Caenorhabditis elegans: one gene and its partner. The protein of the gene in region 1 interacts with the protein of each later gene in a pairwise test. Each region holds a gene or a part of one and is shown on either strand. Other genes may lie near its edges.

The links.
Region 2: the proteins of wdfy-2 (region 1) and praf-3 interact in a two-hybrid assay, tested with the Caenorhabditis elegans proteins (2 studies listed by BioGRID).

The regions. Positions count from the first base shown.
Region 1 is NC_003280.10:9,316,223-9,323,701, reverse strand, and holds wdfy-2 (WD repeat and FYVE domain-containing protein 2), read right to left. Parts: upstream 3,838-7,479; 5' UTR 3,825-3,837; coding exon 3,761-3,824; intron 3,690-3,760; coding exon 3,488-3,689; intron 3,433-3,487; coding exon 3,086-3,432; intron 2,915-3,085; coding exon 2,797-2,914; intron 2,677-2,796; coding exon 2,317-2,676; intron 2,271-2,316; coding exon 2,114-2,270; 3' UTR 1,824-2,113; downstream 1-1,823. Other genes in the region: Ras-related protein rab-39, read left to right, coding at 793-1,034, 1,088-1,277, 1,328-1,441, 1,491-1,634; csa-1 (WD_REPEATS_REGION domain-containing protein), read left to right, coding at 4,230-4,273, 4,554-4,700, 4,745-4,831, 4,876-5,109, 5,338-5,529, 5,585-5,885, 5,937-6,014. UniProt on the Caenorhabditis elegans protein: Plays a role in coelomocyte endocytosis.
Region 2 is NC_003282.8:8,375,869-8,383,447, reverse strand, and holds praf-3 (PRA1 family protein), read right to left. Parts: upstream 3,465-7,579; 5' UTR 3,459-3,464; coding exon 3,360-3,458; intron 3,175-3,359; coding exon 2,965-3,174; intron 2,573-2,964; exon of another isoform or gene 2,566-2,572; coding exon 2,468-2,565; intron 1,892-2,467; coding exon 1,738-1,891; 3' UTR 1,563-1,737; downstream 1-1,562. Other genes in the region: nssp-44 (Neuropeptide-Like Protein), read left to right, coding at 656-772, 1,299-1,416, 1,461-1,492; nap-1 (Nucleosome assembly protein 1-like 1), read left to right, coding at 4,137-4,262, 4,308-4,475, 4,661-4,828, 4,875-5,363; D2096.7 (ELYS domain-containing protein), read left to right, coding at 5,818-6,000, 6,047-6,137, 6,613-6,723, 6,782-6,917, 6,973-7,155, 7,370-7,579.

The sequences.
Region 1 (7,479 bases):
AACAAATAATTCGAGTTTTTCCTGGATTCAATAGCGTTAGTGCTTCACATTTAATTTAATCAAACAAACTTATGCAAAACTATTTCGCAATATTACTATTCAGATTTCTTTAACTGTGAGAGTTAATCTATATATATATATATATATATATATATATAATATGTTCTTATATATGTTAACTTTTCCGAAATTCTAATTGTGTAATTGAAAAGTTTTGGAAAACAGGTGTTTTCGAGAAATTTTGCAGAAAGAAATGTTGCATCTTTACTTGAACTAGATTTTCTACTCTATTCTTAATTTATTTATATCAGTATATGTTTAAAATAACGTCAAAAGCGGAAACATGAAACAAATTGATTCAAAAGAGCTCTATAATCTTGCGAAGACAGCGGAGGAGAGAAAACAGCGGTAGAGAAAGCAGAGAAAAACGAAAATCGATAATTTCGGATTCAAACTCGACGAGAATGCTTTAAAATTGAATTTATATAAAGAATACTCTCGAAAACCGTGAAAAAATTTAATAAAAATAATCATTAGTGTATATTATTTAGAAAACGGCTCTTCGGTGCGGGACCCGCCACCAAGAAAATTCTATGCGCCTTTAAAAAGTCAGCCGTTTTTATTTATTGATCATCTGATTTCTAAGATTTCTGCTGAAATTAAAAAGGTTTTCATTTAAAAAAGTAATATTTATTGATAATTGTTGCTCGGATAACTTTAAATTTATTTTCTTATAATAATTGCATCATTCTCTATTGGAAACGCTCAACAATATATCATTTTTTAGACAAAATGGAAACAAACTTCATTGGTGACGACTATGGACCGCTCTTTCACTACCAATATCGTCTTATCGTTATTGGGGATTCAACAGTTGGCAAATCTAGTCTTTTACGGTACTTCACAGAAGGAAAAATGGCCGAAATCAGCGACCCAACTGTCGGAGTAGACTTTTATGCAAGGATGATTGAGTTGAGGCCTGGATATCGTGTTAAATTGCAACTATGGGATACAGCAGGACAGGAAAAATTCAGGTATGTGGATTTTTTTAAAAAGAATATTAGCTGATTAAAAAAAATATTTTTAGATCAATTACAAAATCCTACTATCGGAATTCTGTTGGAGTCCTTGCAATCTACGACACAACGAATCGAGAAAGTTTTGAGCATGTTGAAAATTGGGTTAAAGAAGCAGCATTAAATTTGGGTGGTCCAAGCCCATCGAAGTGTGTCTTCCAATTAGTCGGAACAAAAAGTGATATGGATTCACAGCGACAGGTAATTTTTGAACAAAAGTTGTGTTTAAAAAATTGGTTAAAAGCTTTCAGGTAAACTATGAGGAAGGCGAGTACTTTGCCAAGTACCATAAAATGAAGTTTATCGAGACGTCGTCGAGAACAGGAGACAATGTTAATGAAGCTTTTCATATGATTGCACAAGAGGTTTTTTTGAAAATGTTTCAATTTTATGATGTAATTTTCAAATTTTTAGATTCAAAATCGAGTCGACGACGGAGAACTGCGGCCCGTGGATGGCTGGGAAGGCCTTAAAACTGGTATTATGAGGTCACAATCCGTGTGCCTATCCGAAAGAAGTTTCCCTCAAAACAGCAGCGCAGGAGCTTGCGGATGTTGATAATTTCTCCTCAATTTTTTAATTTTCCCCGTAGTCATAATTTCGCGTAGCGTTCTTATAAACATCAAAAACTCAGCTATTTTGTGTACTTCCTGTGAGCTTTCTCCTTCATCCAGTGTCACCAACCTCACCTACTCTCCCGGCATGCATTCTTTTGAAATAATTTCTAGTCGTTCTGTCCAAAAACTTCAAAAAAAAAGATTTTTTTTCAAACTTTGTTGTAAAAATACAATTTTACAGTCGAAAAACTAGGAAATTATCGGGATTAGAAGAAAAGTAAGAATCACAATCACTATTCAGGACAACCTGTCAGGGGTATCGGGAAATATTGGTAAGTTTTAGAAGGTCTTGATTTGACAACAATTGGTCTTGGGGAAGGATGGGCATTTTGAGAGTGAATATACAAAATAGAAAGGAGAGGAAATAAATTAGATGAAATACAAAGAATTATGAGAAATTCGAGAAGTAGAAGCAATTGTTTATTGTGATCCAGAAGGGGCAGAGCAAACACTTCGAACATCCCAAATCATAATCACACGATTCTGTCCACTGGTAACTAGAAGTCCGAGAGTTTCCTGGAGATGCATAGCAGTGATTCCAGTATGGATTTCATGTGGAATTGCAAGTGGAGTAAGGCTAAAATTGAAAATAAGTTTCATCAGTCATTTGCTTTACAACTTACTTGAAATTCTGTGGATTATCTTTCATTCGTGCATTGCAGTCATTACAAATGCGAATTTTCGTCTCATATCCCATTGGTGGATAGGTGGTCCAGTTGTCACAGCAAGATCCACAGACTGCTGATCCACAGGTTCTGCAGTGATGTTGTCTCAATCCGACCACTTTCCTCTGCCACATTGCTTGAAGATTCCAGAAGAACGGTTGATTGCATTTCTGACAGCAATCCGAAGTTTTCCATTCAGGAGTCTCAACTCTCTTGCAATTCATGTCCCAGCACATGAGCTTTCCGTGTTCGTCAGCCGAGAACAGACGTTTGGCTGCTGGAGCTGCGCATAGTGTTGTCACTTTTCCATTGTGTCCGCTGAAAAAAACATTTTTTAATTTGGAAAAATCTATTTCAACTAAATATAATTCAACTTTTGCGCTCGAAAAACATCAACACTTTCGAAATATCACGTAAATTCCAGAAATATACACTCACTTAAGCTCATAAGCTTCTCCTCTTCCTCCTCCGATATCCCACATTATGATGAGATGATCACTGCTTCCAGAATACAAAACTTTCTTATTTCCGTCCCATGTGAGCGAGGTGATTGCATCTGAAAAATCATTGAACTAATTCAAACCACAATTACTAATTGTATTGATTGTGGGGAATTTCAGGAAATACTGGAATGTTATACTTAACAAATATTTTTCCTAGGCACGATAGCATTTAAAATTTCGAATTAATATTTTACTCAAAAAAAAAGAATACGATAAAAACTCACTCGTATGTGCACTAAGCTTGCTGACAAGATTTGGTTGATTATCGACAATACGAAGAACAGTGACATGCCCACCATGATCTCCAACGAATACAAATGGAAGATCAATGACCATTGCTGTACAACTATTTTCCAAAAGATAACTTCCCATCTTATTTGAATTTTCTGAACAATGCCAGACGATAGATTTATCTCGAGAACAGCTGAAAATGAGCTCGGAGGAGAGTGCAAAGCCGAGTCCAGAGATTGGTCCAGCGTGACATGTCCATTTTCGGGATTCTGTCATACTGTTAAAGTCATCGGCAACACTGAATTCATAGACATTTCCATTGATAAGTCCGACGAGCAGCCTGAATAAAAAAATTAAAAATTTAAAAAATAAAACGATTTAAACTTTAAACTAACTTATAAGTTTCTTCACTGTAATAAAGACTTGTTGGAGCAACTGGCATGAAATGATGAATTGACGGCCAAAATTGATCATTATCTCTTTTTAAGTACAGGCGAACGGATCTATCATCACTTGCAGTCCAGACTCCTTCGTCTTTTGATAGTAAAATGACGTCATTGATACGAGCCACGTGGCCAGTGATTCTGTGAAGAAGAGCTGAAAATTAAAATAAATTCGAAAATTACACAGGTTATGGAAATCAAATGGTTCGTTTTCAATTCACCAACCTGGTTTGGCTCCTCCCATACTTGATTCGCCCTGTTCGACGCGTTGATTGATTATTGCAGCCATAATGGCTGAAAATCTGAAAGAAAATCAAATTGAATGCCAATAAATGACACATAAAGTTTAGAGGACGGAATGCAGATGTTTAAAGCAAAAATCGATAAAACCACGTGTTCTCGCCCGTTTGTTTACACTTCTGCACCTTTTTTACTTTTGTTACTATTTCTGAACTAAATATTTCCTTGTGGAAATTGAAATTTTTATCAAACTAATTTTGCAACCGGTCTGGAAACAGATGAATCAGTGCCCGGTAAATAACGGAAAACCGGTGCGGCCGAGAATGAACTTGTTTGGTGGACTCTAGGCCATTGGCTGTTTTAAGGAGGATATTCAAATTAACAGCAACGTTTGAGCTTTTTATTTAATCGTAATATATTTATTCGCATGTTTCTATAATTTCTCAACAGGAAAATGACTGTTCGTCACGAGGAGTACATGTTCAGCTGTGATTTGAAGTGAGTTTTGCGGTTTTTATGTGAATTTCGTAATAATTTTGAAAAAAAAGTGCAAATGCATAATTAAAATTTAAAACAAACGAGAAAAATAGAGAAATTTAATGTTAAAATGCGCAAATAAAGAAAATAAATGACAGTACCGCAATTTTTTCAAGGCGCAAGAGTCAGAAAACCAGACGGGTCCCGCAACGACTTTAAACTTTTATGAATTTACAGGCCTAGATTTTCTTACTGTACTAATTTTTTTTAAAATTTGAGTTATATTTGAAATTTTTTGCAGAAAACGCCGAGTTTTCGAAGAACAACAAGTTTCACGGGCTCTTTTGAATTTTCGATGGACAAAACATATTCCTATGGGTTGTGATCAGACGGGGAAAGGCCATCAAGAAGATATTAGTGCGATTGATATAGATGATGGTGACCAAATGTTGGTTTAATTAGGAGTTTGTTTAAAAAAAATTGATTTTTCAGGCTACTATTTGGATCTCATAGTGGTTCAGTGTCAGTTGCCAAATATAAATACTTGGATCGTAAAAAGTGGAAGAAACCTATGACTCTGTATGTAACAACCGCAATAATTCTAAAATTTATCAAGATTTCAGAAAACTTGCGAAGCAATCTCTGAAAACAATAAAATGGTGTCCAATCGATCTTCGCCTTTTCATGGTTACAACAGCATCAAATTGGATGCGAGTTTGTGATAGTACCATGGAAAAAGTGGTTCATGGGAAACAATTTGAAGGAGATGTTTATTTTGATTGGAATGAGTATAATATGACAAATTCAAAAGTTGCCGTGGCAGATGGAGGGAGATCAATGAAAATTATAGATTTTAGGTAAGCTTTAAAAGTTCCACGAAATGCCTGCCTACGTGCCTGAAGGCTAGTGGATCTTGTATTGAACAAGAGCTATATTTTGTTATGACTGCCTAACTTTCTAAAACTTTGGTCTTACAATTTCCCCTGGTCGAACCTCTTGTCTTAAATTTTTATGAATTATTTCAAAATTTAAAATTTAATTAAAATTAATTAACATTTTATATTTCAAAATAAATATCATTTCAGAGTCGGAATGGATCTACCTCAATCGATATATTGGAATGATGAACCAATTGATGTTGTACAGTGGTATCCATCAAAACATCATTACTTATATGCAGGACGACGAGATGGAACAATTGGACTATTTGATATTCGGAGCACACGTGGAGCAATTGCTGAGAAATCTCTTCACAAATCACAAATTTATGGACTAAAGTACTTTATTTTCAAAACTTTAAATTGAAGGTATTCTAAATCTCATAAATTCCAGAATATCTGCCGATGGACATCGTCTCATCTCTGCCGATAGATCGGGGTACATTCATGTGGCAGATACGTGGGATTTCAGCACAAAATTTGATTTTTCCTGTGAATTCGATCCACTTATGCAGCGTCGTCCAAATTTGGAATTTATATATGAGAAGGATTTTTATGTGGCAACGAATTTTGAAAAACTGACGATCATTCGGTTTTCTGATAATGATAAATCAAGAAGAAATCCAGATTTTCGAGAAGTTGAAGCAAAAGTGTTGTGGGATAAGCCCTTCATTTTTCGAAAATCAAGCTATGAGGTAGGATACTGAAAGTTGTTCAAGAATGAAACTGGGTGATTTTTGTTTCAGATAATCACAGGCTTCAACTACAATCATCTGAATATTTTATCCCTTGACAGATCAACCAAAGATCAAGACGAAGTATAGCAGGTCGCAACCAAAAAGAAAACACATTTTATAAAATTCTTTAATTTTTATTTTCTGGTCGCAAAATTTTTTACGAGTTTTAATACGATTTTTAAAGATGCATATGCACATGAATGAATATTTTCTAAAATTGTCACTCAAGCACTTCAAAATTAATCTAGTAAACATCAGATGTAGGCACAAAAGCTCGCGCCTGCCTTCAAGGTGGCCTACGTCTAATTTGTGCCTACTTCATAACTACACAAAAACATTTTTCACGTTTGAATTCAATGTTCGAAACTTAAATGAGTTCAAGCAACATAAAACTAAACAGTGCAAACAACAAACAACATAATTCACGCCAAAATTCAAACAATAGGTCGTAGGTAGGCTTCTAGGCAGGCAGGCAAGAAGCATTGAAGTTTTGCTGTAATTGGAGAAAGTTCAGTAATGTACAATGTATCACTCTAGAATATTGTAGCTTATGAAATATATTTTTGGATAGATTATTTATTTTGTTTAGAACTTTTTTTTGACAAGATACCTGATTTCTTGTTTGAAAACAATGCGAACCAATATTTTCTAGTCCATTTAAGTACATCAAGGTGACCTGTCCCCGTGTTCTATTCACTCGACACCATTGTTTTATACGATATAAAAGGTGTGAACATAATTGCACATATGCTCTAATTGTGTGCTCCTGTTACGTAATGTTAACAAAAGCGAAACAGGAGAAGACACACGCCTGAGACTCATACACCTGAGATGGGAGGGGGGTCATCGTGTGTGCACACATGATTAGTGTCTGTTTGGTGATTCGATTCCCTTCTCTAGTCTTTTCCTTCCGAATCCGCCAGTGAAACATTCCAAAGTGATATTATGTTTTATCACAAACTCACGTATTTTTATCGTTTTCTCTGGGGCTTGCCAAGTAGGCAGGTACGTGTTCAGGCGAACCTAACCGCCTACCGCCTATTTTCTGAATTTTTTAAAGAATGAACTTTGTTTTTTTTATCTCCTAAATGAGCCGAAATATAATCTTTGAAATCTAAGTAGTTATAACAACTTATATGTGCAATACTAATAGAAAATATACGGTAGTATAAATATATCATTTCAGTTTTCTTGATCTAATTTTGATCTTACATTTTATCTCAGCAACGTATTCTCGTATTGTATTAGAAAACGCCAATTGTTTTAGGAGTCTCATATAATAAACGAGCAAAAAATACAGTACTATTAAATTATTAATTGCAAAAATTGTTTGCGCTACTTACTGGGAAAATACGCTGCCAGATTGATAGCATAATTTTTTTGAGTAAAAATTCCGAAAAACCATTTCTTCCACCCTAAAACCATCTCTATTCTACTCTTCCCACACTCACCTATCATTGAGTGTGAAGTGTGTCAATCCAAGAGAACAATGTCAAGTGGATGATGACTACTTGCTCCGAGAGCCCCCAAACATTTTCCCGTTCCATGTTTA
Region 2 (7,579 bases), on another chromosome or scaffold:
TTTCTAAAATTAGTGCCGTTCTCTCAATTTTGAATTTATTCGAGAGATAGCCACTAGAAAAATGTTTTTTTCCGGCAGTCGCCCTTTCAAAAAAAATTTTAAAATCACAATTAAAAATGAAACTGAAAAACTTGACGTATTTCCAAAAAACTGTAAGACAAATTCGAAATTTTTGAGCCTGTTTTTTGTGCCCGCTGTGAAGCCTCGGCAAATTAAATGGAAAATACCAAAGAGTGTGCATTTTTTCCGCAAAGGGACCCATCAAAACCAATCCATTCACTTTTAGATAAACACTTGAGGAAGTTCCCAGTTTACCATAACCCAAAATAAATATTTACTTGTGATTCTCTAGTTATGCAAATTTATTGCCGAATTTCTTCTAGTGCGTCTCTCAATGTACTAACTCACATTTTTCAATTATTCTAAAATCTCTATAACTTCGATTTTATCCTTCTTACTCGCTCCACGCACCTTGTGACGAAGTGCTTATCTTTTCTAAAATCAGAAACATCAGCTTCATCCCTACAAATCCTCTTTCCACCTCAATATTCTCTTTCAACGTACTTGACATCAAAACTCTTCGTTGACTCCGCCCATTTTCCCCTCTTCTTCTACTTTCCCATACCTTGATTCATAATTTCAATTTCTTCAGAGAATGAACTCCACATCAATCGCAGCTTGGCTTCTCGTCCTTATTCTCGGAATTGTTTCCAGTCAGCCATTGTTTGGGCTTGAAAAGCAATTGCTATATTCGTTCCAGGACCCTGATGAAGTGAGTTTTCAGGGTTTTCAGAACATTTTGAAGATATGCGATTTTCTCTAATGTAGCTCAGGTAGTCATTTCTCTTGACTGTTTACCTACGAGCCTGCCTACCTGTTCTGAATTTTGGCTTGAACCCCAGTTTTTGCACAGGATTGATATGCGTATTTCTACTTGCAGATATTTTTTGAAAGTGCAACTAAGTATTTTAGAGATAAATTAGAAATTGCAGTAGACAGGAGTGTAGGCAGAAGGCGATGGTAGGCCGCCTAGAAGGCACGCATTTTTGCTATCCTGTGAAAATCCCCATTCCTATTGAAGCAAGAATTCTAATTTCAGTTGAATCTCATCAATAAGAAGATAGAAAATATGGTTTAAAAGTATCCCATGTACTTTAACTTGAGCATTAGGCACGCGTGAAGGCACAATTCAATCGTAGGCCGCCTGGAAGGCAAGGGCGTTCTGCTCGCGTGAAGTGTATTCTCTACGAAACTTCCAATTTCTTTTGAAAATTAAAAAACTAATTTTCAAATTTCAGTTCGAAATCATCAATAAGAGATCACCATTGCTAAGTCTTGTTGGTTCAAATGTTCGTTTCACAGAACCATTCTGGCAACGCGTTCAAAATAAGAAGAAAATCCGTTCGGTTGCAGTTGGTGAGTAAAGTAATTAAGTTTTTTTTGAAATGTTAAAATTTCAGACGCCGACAAACTTCCTCGCTACTTCCCATAATGTTTTTGTATAGCTAATAAATGATTTTTTCTGTTTTCCAAAGAAACCATTATTACGAATACTATTTGAATTGACAAACATGGATTTATGGGGGGAAAATGATTGAGCGGAGAACAATAAATAATTATACATTAAAAAATTGTGGAACGTAAAAATTTGGTTAATTTTGAGGCAAAATTGGGAGAAGGATGAGTTGAAACATGAGAAGAATATGTCAAGTTGGCTGGGGGGAATTGAATTGATATCTACACTTTCACATTGAGTCCAGTTCTGTCGAGAATTTGTCCCATGACACTTGTACGGATTCCTAGCTGTTCCTTCACATTTGCGGCACGGTTAGCAATACCACGAAGACGAAGAGATGCGTGAACAAGAACCAGGAATACTGGGAACAGCAAGCTGAAATTTATACAAAATTATAAATGGAGCATGATCCTGTTAGAAAATTCATTAAGAAACTTGTCTTGGTGTGTTATGTTCCTGTTGTTCTGAACTTTAGCACAGATTTTCTCATATTTTATGCATAGAACACACCAAAAAATCGAGAAATGTGTAGTTGTTTCTATCTTTCAAACTTCCTCTTTCACTTATTTTATTAATCATTTATATAAAGGGTTTTTTAACTTTTGATTATTAGGTAATTTTATTTAAAGGTGACGTAGAGCCGTTTGGTGATGGACTGTAATAACCATATTTTTTCAGACAGCTTTTCGCAAAAAAATATATGTGATTCTAGATTTTCAAGTCAATTTTGAAAATTTTAGCGATTTTCCGGCTTTCAAGGAGTTCAAAAATAAATATATCTTTGTTTTAATTTCAGCAAAATTAAAAAAAAAACACATTAAGAATTTTATTTTTTACAGTTATATTTGATTATTAAGTCCATTTATAACTGCGACAAATTTACATTAAATAAGAATATTGTCCACTTATGAAAACAGTTTTACAACATTAGTAATTTTTTATAAAACTTACGCAAAGGCAACCACAAGAACGGATTGGAAGACAGAAATGAAGAAATAGGCAACGAGAATTATTCCTCCAAGAGTGACCAATGGATGATCCGTGCGCATCTTAAAACTTGATTTTTTTTTGGTAATTCTTGGTTTCAGTAATTGTTTTTGGACCAATTTTATGTGCCATCATGTTTTAATCTATATTTTTCAATTATTTTTTTAGCTTTAACTTGCAAAAAAACGATTATCACAACAATAATTTTCATCAACGAAGTGCACAAACTGTTACGTGAAACATATGTTAACTTATCCTATTCAGGTAAACGGTAAAAACGAGCTCTTTTTATTTTTTACGGTGGACATGGCTTAATTTTATGCTGCTGCGTTTTGCATCTGAAACTTGAACTTAAACTAATTTTGAATTCCAAATTCCAATAAAACTTTGTACCTATCAATTCCGTCAACAATTCGAATTTCTTATCAATATAAAAACATCACATTCCCGTCAATCATTACCTTTTTGATATTTGCATCAGCCGAGACAGCAAAGATTAGAGTTGCAATTACGGCGACAACGGCGATAAGACCGACGAAAATGTCCTGGCTACTGATGAACGTGTGCAGAAGGAATAAAGTGATGATTGTAACAAAGTAGTTGGTTTGAAAGTACAGAAGATTCGAGATTATTCGATTGTTCCATTTCTTGAAGTCGTTAAATGGTGGACGCTGAAAATCAATCAATTGGATTTTTATCTTTTGAATATTGAAATAAAAAACTCGATTATTTTTAAATTAAACTCTAAGTAAAAATTTTAAACGACCACTTTAGTCAAACTTCAACATATGTAAATATATTTTCTACAAAAGTTGGCCCTTCTTTAAAAATATATGTAATAACAATTCAAGCCTACCTCGTATCGATCGGTTTCCAGCAGAAACTCGTGAAAATTTCTGAACGGTGGCACTTCCACGCCATTCATAATTTGCATATTTTCTGAGGACGTCGTCATTTTTCCCTGAAAATAACAATGAATTTGAAAACTCGCTAAGATTTTCGGAAGTTGAAAATATTTAAAGTAAAGTGAGAAGTTTTGTGCTGAACGGGGGAACATCTGGCGTCGAATGCTATGTGTAATATTCTAATAGCTTAAGGAACTTCGAGAGAATCGAGAAAACGAGAAATATGATTCCAAGATGTGGGTTATTTGAAGAGCTATCAAATTTTAGAATTTGAAACGCAAAAAACTGTTTATTTAAAAAAAAAAGTGCCTACAATTAGTTTCAAATGCAATCAAATTTCAGGAGAATTTACTATCATAACAAATCCATACTTTTATAAATAAAAATCAATACAATTATTATATGTAAATCACCAAAACAAACCAGAAAACAAACGACAATATGAAAACATTGATAAAAAATAATATAGGCATGAAAGACCATCTCGTAAATAATAAGCTTGTGTGCGCCTTTAACCGCGGGTCTCACCGCGAAGAGACATTTTATGGAGGAGGAGCGAAGTGGTTGTTTGGAAAATATATTTTCAACTCTCGTCCTATGATTTTAGACAGCACTGCTTCGTTTCACAATAATTTTACAGATTTTTTCTCGAATTTTCGAAAATCATCGTATTTTTTTGCTTGAAAGAGTATGCCAAAATCATCTATTTATGCTTTGTAGGTAATAAAATGGCTGATCAAGAGCATATTGACGCTGGACTTCTCAGCACCAACTTCGACATGATTCAGGCTTTGCCTCTCAATGTCAAGCAACGCGTCTGCGCTCTCAAAAACCTTCAAATGAAGACAATTCAGGTTAGTTTTCTTTGTTTATGTTCTTAAGTATATAATTTATTTCAGATTGAATCTGACTTCTACAAACGTGTTCACGAGCTCGAGATCGAGTTTGAAGGAAAGTTCAAATCCACTTTCGATCAAAGAAAGGCTATTGTCGCGGGAGAGGTCGAGCCAACTAAAGAACAAATCGACACTCCAATCCTCGAAGGACTCGAGGGAGATCAACTCGCTGTAAGTTCCTAATCAAGATTCCCTATATAGCCTGCAACTATTCAAGAGATTTGCCTCCCGTGGGGCACGCCTTTTTTCGTTGCGAAATAAAACATGTCCTTTATTCCCGCTCCTGGATTGTGTTTCTTGCGCGATGATATGGCTATGACAATTCCAGCTTATTAGTTGACATTTCTTTGTTTCAGGAATTGTACAAAGCTGCGGAGGCTGACCCATCAGCAAAGGGGATCAAGGATTTCTGGCTCACCGCTCTCAGAACCCATGATCTTGTTGCTGAAGCCATCGAGGAGCATGACGTACCAATCCTCTCATATCTCACTGATGTGACGACCGCCGCTAGCAAGGATCCAGCCGTAAGCGCATTTCATTGTTTTCGAAAGTTAATGTTTTGAACTTCAGGGTTTCAAAATCGAGTTCCACTTTGCCACCAACCCATACTTCAAAAACCAAGTTCTTACCAAGACCTACTTGCTCGGTTTCGACCCAGATGCGGAGGCACCACTCCAATTCGATGGACCACATGTCATCCGCGCTGTCGGAGATACTATTGAGTGGGAAGACGGCAAGAACGTCACCAAGAAGGCTGTCAAGAAGAAGCAAAAGAAGGGAGCTAATGCTGGAAAGTTCCTCACCAAAACTGTGAAAGCAGATAGTTTCTTCAACTTCTTCGAGCCACCAAAGAGCAAGGACGAGAGAAATGAAGATGAGGACGATGAACAGGCAGAGGAGTTCCTTGAGCTCGACTACGAGATGGGACAAGCTATCCGTGATACCATCATTCCACGTGCTGTTCTTTTCTACACTGGAGAACTTCAATCAGACGATATGTTCGATTTCCCAGGAGAGGACGGTGATGATGTGTCAGACTTCAGTGACGATGAGGCTTAAGCAGTATCGATGGACCACTTATTAATTTGCCAATTTTTGAAATTATTAATTTTCCATTTTCTTTTTTAAAATTTTTTTGATTATTCCCAACCCCTTCACATAATAGGCGGAAAACCGATTGTTGCTGTTACTTGTTGTTGTCGTTTATTCCCTGACCTATCCATATTCCGCTTCTCCCAATCTCTAAAGATATACCTGAAAACGAGTTGTCGTCGAAATACTTGATACATGTTGTCTTCATCCTGGTGTATGTTGTTTCGCAAATTCTTCATACTAGTTATGATAGGATTTGAATGAGCTGGCACGAGTCGACTTTGAACTCGAATTTCAATATTTTCGTGATCCTGCATTAAGTGATGAATAAAATCCCTTGTTGCGAATTTCAGTCCTTCTGAGGTCTTGCCATCTGGAACATCTTTCAGGAGAGATCGTCTATTTCAAAACCCTCTGCATTATGTTGGACGGCTACCAACTCCTCTTAAAAGCACAGTGCTCGGAATCGCTAGACTTGCTAGGACTGTCACAAGCAGAGATATTGATTATCATCGAAAACGAAAGACGATATGATGTGAAAACTCGTCTCTGCGAGAGGATTGCTTTTTTAATTTACCAAGACTCGAACTTTGGACGTTTACCGGTATCACCCAACACATTCCTTTCAGATGTATTTAATTGTTCTTCAGCACAACTCTTCGGAAGTTTTCGCGTCCATCAACAGATTATGTAAATCAATGCCAACTGGTTTTTCATTTGAAGGTAGATATTCAAATTATGGTAATCTTCTTATTATTATCTCAATTATACAGTTTGGTGTTACCTAAAAGTTCTAGTCTCAATAGACAAATACTTGTTACTTTCCCAAAATATTTGAAGAACAGAAAAAGTATTTGCACACATTTTCGAGTTAAATGTCGTCGGTTTTTTTCTCTTCAAATTTCGAAATGTTGCGAAAAAAGAGAACATATGTCTGCGTCTACTTCTCTCGAGTTCTCTAGCATGTACTTTATCGAAGAGACCCGAAAAAAGTTTCGAATGTTTCTGTGCTGCAAAGTGCACTTTTCATTTAATCGAAGCCAGTTGGTTAAATGGAACAAAATGATTGGGGGCGAAATAGTATAAATAAAGTGGAATGTTCTGAAAGAATCATAAGCTTAAAAATATGTCTAGAGCAGAAAGATCCACTAGGAACAAACATCGGCGTTAAAATCACAGAAACCCAGGCCACAAAAATGTGAAAATAATTTTTCAGATCCTGAAACATTTGTCGGGCCGTCCACCACGAGTGATACACTTCAAAATTTCCCAAATCATTCTCTTGAGCGGATTTTATGTGCGACGCTTCTATCAACCTCAGAAGAAGGTGAGAGATTTAAAGGTTATTCATTCGGTCTTCTATTATTCAGAAAATTCTTTTTTAGACCTTCCTTCTCTTCTTGACTCAATTTTCTCTCAGAAATATCCAACAACTGCGACTCTAACCCAGAAGCTTCTGGATAATGATGAACGATTTCTTACATGTACACTTGCACTTTTACCTCTCATTGAGACTTTACCGTAAGTCAGAAGATAGTTAATTTATTAAAAAGTTTAAATTCAAAACTATTTTCAGAACAAGTTCAATATTCCATCCCGTGTCTGTGTTTCTCGAGGCCATGCATCTCATAAGCTACGATTGTGAAGTAGTAATTGACTGGTTGAATTCTGAATTGGCATCTTCTTCACTGATTCTACGAATTCTAAAATCAAATTGCCATGACAAAAACAGAAACTGCTGGATGAGTTATTCCCCGATGTATGTTATAGAATATCATAAGTATGCATACCAAAATATACAACGTCGACGAGTTTCAAAGAAACCGTATTCATCCCGTTGGGTCTCGCGGCGAAAAATGCATTCACGAAGAATAATATAATTTCAAAAAATAAACTTTTGAAAATCAACATAATATCTGTAAAACCGATTTTGATTGTTCCAACAGTAAACAATAAGTAACAATATTTTTCAGAATCAATGAAGCAGCTCTCTCCGATATCCAGCGAAAACAAATTTCTCCTCTGATAAAAGCTGCACCATCGATACAGTACCCTAAAGTCACGCTTAAAATCACTGAAATCGTGGGAGATCAAGAAATGACAAAAACGATGAAATTCCAAGGATCTGAAAGTAAACGCATGTGTTCACACAAACATCCAACAATTTTAAAGAATACTGGAAG